Linked DNA regions of Caenorhabditis elegans. The protein of the gene in region 1 purifies or fractionates together with the protein of each later gene. This does not show direct contact. Each region holds a gene or a part of one and is shown on either strand. Other genes may lie near its edges.

Region 1 (3,339 bases):
AATTGCATGTCAGAATCACTGTCAACTCACACGATGAATCTTCCAGTCGAGGAGCGTACTGACTTTCTGTCCTACAATCCTAAATATGAAGTTGATCTTGAAAAACTAGAAATCTTAGAGCAACTCGGAGACGGTCAGTTTGGACTTGTTAACAGAGGATTGCTGCAGAAAGTTGATCCCCACAGCTTGATCGAATACAAGATTCGATTGCAAGTAGCGGTTAAACGTTAGTTAAATACTGTTGAATTTGTGATGAATTTTGATCTCATAGGTGCAAAAACAATGAATAACTTGGAACAGCAAAAAATGATGGTAGACGAACTGAAAGTGATGTGTGCTATTCCAAAACATCCAAATGTAATTGCTCTTGTAGGAGCTGTCACTAAACAAATCAAAGAGTGAGTAAATCAAAGAGTGAAAGACAAATCAAAGAGTGAAAGAGTGACAAATAATCCAGATTTAGCATAATGGATTAATCAAATTTCAGTGGTTTCCTTTACGTTATTACCGAGTACATTAATGGTGGTGATCTGCTTAAGTACCTGAGAAAGCTTAGAAGCCATTTTAAAAACGAACTTTGTAATAACGATATAGTTTTACATGTGTCTGAAAAAGAATCATGTGAAAAAGAGGAACTTCTTGTCGATGCGTTTGATTCGCTGTCAACTTCTGATTTGTTATCCATTGGACTACAAATTGCAACTGGAATGGAATGGCTTGCCAGTGTTCCGGTGAGCACAGCCAGTTGATTAATTGCAATAAATCTTTAATTTCAGTGTGTACATCGTGATTTGGCATGCAGGAATGTACTAATAACCAAAACCAAAATTATTAGAATTGCTGATTTTGGGCTCACAAAAAGTTTGCTAGCAAATCATACTACAGGTCTCCAGTCTCCAAAACAAATCTTGTTCAAATTTAAAACTTTAGATTGAAAACCGACACAGTCCTTCCAGTACCAACAATGTCCTCAGAAGCAATCGATGACTTGAAATTTACTGAGAAGTCTGACGTTTGGTCATTCGGTCTATGTCTCTACGAAATTTTCACTTTGGGTGGAACTCCTTATCCCAATTGTGGCTCGATTCAAGAAGTCATTGAGTTTATTGAAAATGGGAATCGAAATGCACAACCCAAATACTGTCCGGATGAAATGTAAATATGTTCATATATTCTGAAAAAAATCTCTAAAATTTTAGCTATAAGTTGATGAAAATGTGTTGGAAAACATCTCCAAAAAAACGTCCCACTTTTAAGGAATGCGTCAAGTTTTTCAAAAATTACATGCAAGAGGAGGTTCGATTGAAACTAGAATTTTCATGGGAGGCAGGGGTAGTTTTTACGCCTGACGCAGGGGTCCTTGCTTTCTCTAGTTGGAGCTATAGAATTTATTGACTAACTAACTTTTAGCAAATTAGATGTATTATATTTCAGGTTGTACAAAACATTGAAAGAAAACTGCAATTTGAAAGGGAAGAGCAACAGGAATTGGATTCTTGGACTGGAAAATCTCTCAGAGCAGAAGGAGTAGAGGATAAAGAAACTGAAGTGTTGGATAAACTGTAATTGATTGCAATAAATAGTACACATACATACGTTTGTATGTATAAAAAAGTATATTATACTAAACATTTACTGTTAATTCAATTCGTATTTGTCTCTACATTTTCTGATTTTTGGTATACATGATCTGCCACAAAACGTTTCACAAACTCAACTTTCACTTCCAGGCCGTATGTTTTAGTTTTATTATCAATTCGCCCGACAAAAACTCTTATCGGTGAAAATGTACGTGTGGCTCTATTGATTTGAGCTTTTTTGTTAAATTTTTTTTTGTGGTGTTTTTTCTGTAACCAGTCCTGGTTGTTAGCTGTCACTTCCTTTTTTATGCTTATAAATGAAGCTTCAATATTTTTTATGAAGCTTCAATATATTTTTTGCCACCAACTCTAATAGTATTGCAGTTTATATGTATTCTTACTGATAACATAAGCGTTCTTTGGTTTTGAAGTTGATTTTTCATCTTATTTAGAAAATTGTTCAGCATGACTTTAACAAAAGAAGAAGAGCTGGAGTTTATTCCACAAGAGCGACGTCTCGATGTTCTGGTTAACGCCCAGAAAACAATTTGTGAAACTAAAGAAAAGAAAGGGCGGATAGTTTTTGTGACATTCGCCACAAAATTCGACAAAAAAGTGGTTGAAATTACCTTAGATGAAGAGGACCCGCTGAGCCAGTTGTACAAAACAGCCCAGGAAATTTTTCCTTACTTCTCATGGCGGTTTTGTCTTGGTGAGTGATAATAACAGGAATCTTGCATGATATCATCCTTTTTCAGATGAGCCAACCAATCTCATTGAAGGCTTGTCAAACAAACGCCGAGTTTTTGGTAGTATCAAGCAATCCCGTTTCTACAACTTTCTCTATCTTGTCATCACTCTCTTACCGACTTATCATCCATTCGACTGTGACGAGTGCAAGGCAGAATGCAACTGGAATAATCGATACAAATGCACAATATGCGCCGATTATGACCTTTGTAGGCAGTGTGAGGCAAAAAACTTGCACGCAAATCATGCAATGCTTAGGATTCTCTCTAGTGATACCGAACTACCTAAATATATGTATATGAGTTCACCCAGTTTTGTTTCTGAACACTGTTCAAAATAAATTGTTATATAATATACCAGCCGTGGACCGCACCTCCGACGCGGCCCCAGACTTCTGGGGCTGAAAACTAATTTTTCTGAAACTACCGTAACCCTACAGTATTTCTACCGTACCACTATTGTACCACTACAGTACCCCGACTATATCCCTACACTAACCCCAACTCACTATCCCCACAGAAGCCAAAACTTCACAGACTACAAAGACTACATAGACTACAAACTATGGACACAATAAGCGCTTTATATATAGTAAATGATTTTTTTTTAATGTGCATAGCAAACAGGAAAAACAAATGAAAGTTGCGCGGATGAGCTCAATATTGGAAATTGGTTAGAACCAAGTAGACACTACGATTTATTGATCAATGTACCATGTTTCAAGTGAGACTGGTTTGCTCTTTATCTAGTGGAGTGTTCATTCATTGCGCAGCTGGAATGCGGTGTCTACTCGATCGATTACCAAGCGTCTGCTGGGCCACCAAACCTCCCATTCCAGTCATTCATTCCCTTTACAACCATGACGAGTGGTTTCCCACTTCTTCGATTACCTTCAAAACCTCTACGTTTTCTACTTCAAACAATGAAATTAGTAGATGTGTAAGTTAATTTCTTCAGTTTTTCAAAGTATAGCTATTTATTTTCAGAGTGAGCATCTCTTTTACCTCAA
Region 2 (3,933 bases), on another chromosome or scaffold:
CAAGTGATAATTTTCCGAATTGGTCGAGCCCTTCCTCCAGCGTCATACTGCACATTTCCACAGTACAACTGCTCAGAAAGAGCCGTCACCAGGACTTCCTTATCGTTGATTTTCCAGTAAACCTGCATCTGGCCGTTGATGTTCACACGTTCACCAATGTAATTTCCGCGTTGAACGATTTGCTGGATATAGGTTTGGAACTTTTCCAAGAGCTTGAGCAGATCTGAAAACAGAAAATGTTTGCTTACAGTAATCCTACAGTACCATTACAGTACCTTCATACTTTTGCCTAGCGTTTTGAACAGCAGTAACAATATGTACAACAATATTTATATAGTGCCCTAGCAGTATTCCTACAGTACCACTACAGTAATCCTACAGTAACCTTTCAGTAACACATGTAGTGGCCTCACAGAAACGACAGCAAACCTACAGTATTCTAATAGTACCTTAGCAGTAATGCTACAGCACCCCCAAAAGTACAACTACAGCGCCATTACAGTGCTGCTACAGTAATCCAACAAGACTCCTACAGTAATACTACAGAAATCCTACATCACCCTTTCTGCAACCCCCACCCTACAGTAAGAGCATTTTTACCAAAATCCAAATACATTTCTTAATATTTACCTCGATACTCCGATTCGGACAATTTCTGAATCTCCTTCTCTAGCACAATATTCAGATCGCGGTTGTTCTCCTTTCTGAGCTGTTGCACCAGTTGTTTCAGATTTCCCGGAAGCGCATCCAGAAGATCTTCACCAAATTTGAACTCATGACCATGTCTAATCAATGAATGGAGAAGTCCTTCACGTGTATTGTTCGCCAGGGCAACCATCTGAAAAATGCTGAAAAATTTTCTTTTAATAGCATTACTCCTTACCGTATACGAGAAATTCTCCGGAGCCACGATGCTCATCCAGAACTGATTCCTTGAAGCATAGAGATTCTCAACCTTCCCGTTGTTGTTGTTGGGATTCTGCTCATTTTGAAGGAACACATTCGGATGACGATCTTGTAATGTGTCTTTGGGCTCCTGGGATGAGTAGAAACCACCTCTACTGGAGCGCTTATCGCTCGTGTTGTAGCTGCCCGCATCGGAGCGGAACTTCGGGTTGAAGGCATCGCGTTGCTGTCTGGAAGATGTTAGAGGTCAGACCTTCAAGTACCGGGCAGAAACTCACGCTTTGAACAGCTCAAAGATCTCCTCCGTAGTCGATCCATCTTCTTGGAAATTGCCGATCACACGAATCGCTTCTTGACTCGGAGGATTTCTAGACTTGACGACTTGATCGAAAGTGGGATCATACCAATATTCTGATGTACGATTCAAAGAATTCGTGCTCTCAGGAGTACTTTGGTAATTTGCACGACTCGAGGAAGTTTTTCTCTCATCTGACGAGTAAGCGATCCCTCTGTGTAAAGAAAATAATTTGATCAGCGCGTAAGCACAATATCCGATGCTTCCAAGGTAAACCGCCCATGAAAGCATACCAACAACCAACGTTGCAGTACTTGTGCCAATGATTGCACCAAGCTTTGTGGCGAGTAGGGCACTGAGCCTGGTGCCGAGGACTGTTCCGAGCCTTGTAGAAACATAAGCTCCGAGTTTCGGACCGAGAAGTCTGGTAAGCATGGTGGAAAGTAGGCCGCCTGAACCTACGGCCATTTTAGCAGCAATATGTGCCTCCATTGTTTTGAGGCGTTCGCAGAAGACGGAAAGAATGAATATTGAAAACGGAATGCGGTGTTTACATGTAAACTTTTAAGGCTGAGCAATGATATTGTTGTTGTCCATAGTGAGGGTGGAGACGCAGACGTAAAAAACAAAACACGCGGTATGCCTGCGTCTCTCACTTGTCGACGCCAATTTGAAATTTAGTTCCGGCAAATGATAATATAAAAAATGATGCAAAGAATGATATATTCTATATTTTCATTTATATATATTATATAATAAAAATCACATCACACTTATTTATATTGCATTGTCACTGGCCAACTTTCTCTAATTTTCTTTACATTTTGTGCAGATGTAACAAAAATAGTAATAATTGTCTTAATAGGTCGTGGCGGTCTTGTAGTGTCGTACTCGAGTTTTCCATTCCACAATTGTTCGGAAACAGCGAGGACTAGGTAGTCAGATCCATTTATGTCCCAAAAGATTTGCACCTGCCCGTTGGTGTTCACACGCTCCCCGCGGTAGTTCTTCGACTGGACAATTCGTTGTATGAAGACGTGAAATTCTCCCAATAGTTTCAATAGATCTGTGAAAATTGAATAGTATGATCTACGTTTTATCAGTTACTCTCACCTTCATAATCGTCATCCGTGACCTCCTTCATTCGTAGGTTCTTGTTCAACTTCTTGTTCCCCAATTTATCATTCACTTCTCGAAGAGCCTTCACCTCAAGTGACTTGGGATCACGTCTAGAATGTCTTTCAGGACAAGATCGTTGTTCGGGAGGTTGCAGAACTGATTTCCATGTCTGATCAGGGAATGGAGAAGACCTTCCTTTGCGCAGTTTGCTACCACAGCGGTCTATAAACGTTCAGGTACATCCTACCTTTAGCTCCAACTTACAGTAAATTTAAAGCTATCAGGCATCACCACCAGTTCAAAAAACAGATCTCTAGATGAATACGCCTTGTGGACACCTCCCCGACCGTTTGGATTCCGCTCGTCTTTCAGGTACACGTTTGGATGTTGCTCTTGCAGAGTTCCTTTTGGTAGTTGTGATGAATAAGAGGAAGCTCTACTGACACGTTTGTCGTTGGTGTTATAGCTGCCCCCGTCGGTGCGGGATTTTGGGTTGAACGCGTTGCTTTGCTGACTGGAAAAGGTACTTATTAGAAAAATTGAGGTCTTGGGTACTTACGCTTTGAATATCCGAAGAAGGTCGTTCAAATCCAGTGCCGGAGCATCAGGATTGAAATTTGCAATCATTTCCAGCGCATCGCTACACGGTGGATCAGCAGCGACCACAATTCGGTCAACACGAGGATCATACCAGTACTCCTTCCTATCTTCTATCAGACGGTGTGGACCAGATCCACCGATCGGTGCTCTTTTTGACAGAGTTGCAGAAAACATTAATTTTCTGCTTGGAGAAATGTGAATTAGGAAGAAATGTGAAAAATGAAGAAAATAGTGAAGTAGCCCTGTCGTATAAAAACGTTATCAGTGCCATGAATGAGGAAGCGTTGGAAAGTATTGCTAAGCCTTAATATATTGACGTTCTTGTCAGTAAGAAAAGTTTAAACCTGCGAAAAATTAAAGTGTAGACGAAAGTATTTTTCACACAAATTTTCAGACTCGCACCGGTTGCCTTTTTTGCTTTTTTTTTAAGTTGTTTTCTTTCAATGTTCAAATACATATACATTTATTGAAATTACAATTTGGAAAAAAACGTGAAAAATTAAATTTAGAATGGCTTAAAACAGCCATGGTTTTTTGTTATTGGCCACCGCGATTCTTTCCAGTATTTCACCTTTTCCATACTTGTTACAAACATTGTGATTATTTTTCTGATTGGCCTGCACGGTGAATGCAAATCATAGCCGTCTCTTGGTGCGTAGAGTAGTTCGGATAGACAAATGACAAGAACTTTGGTATCATTAATTCTATAAAATACCTGTATTTGTCCGTTATTGTTAATACGTTCGCCAAGATACTTCCCTTCTTTGCAGATTTTCTGGATGAATTTCTGAAACTCTTTGAGTAGCTTGAGAACACCTGAAAATATATGAATCATTTGTTTGATTTATTTATGCAGGTCTACCTAAATAAAAACTGTCCGATAGTAACCACTTTTCTAGTTTATTTAATAGTGTTTTCAATGTTTCTTTGTTCGTGCATTCACGAATTTTTTTTAGCAACTCTTTCAAAGATTTCGAAAGAATATTCAGAAGATCACTGTGAAATCTGCTCTG

What was found.
Region 2: the proteins of sqst-5 (region 1) and Y47G7B.2 fractionate together in Caenorhabditis elegans (co-fractionation; one large-scale study listed by BioGRID). This does not show direct contact.

Annotation. Positions count from the first base shown.
Region 1 is NC_003281.10:146,314-149,652, reverse strand, and holds sqst-5 (ZZ-type domain-containing protein), read left to right. Parts: upstream 1-2,032; 5' UTR 2,033-2,045; coding exon 2,046-2,292; intron 2,293-2,338; coding exon 2,339-2,670; 3' UTR 2,671-2,684; downstream 2,685-3,339. Other genes in the region: fbxb-84 (F-box domain-containing protein), read left to right, coding at 3,190-3,269, 3,317-3,339.
Region 2 is NC_003280.10:2,706,246-2,710,178, forward strand, and holds the start of Y47G7B.2 (DUF4781 domain-containing protein), read right to left. Parts: upstream 1,770-3,933; 5' UTR 1,694-1,769; coding exon 1,185-1,693; intron 1,137-1,184; coding exon 884-1,136; intron 839-883; coding exon 631-838; intron 224-630; coding exon 1-223. Other genes in the region: T05A8.1 (SH2 domain-containing protein), read right to left, coding at 2,405-2,542, 2,585-2,834, 2,880-3,094.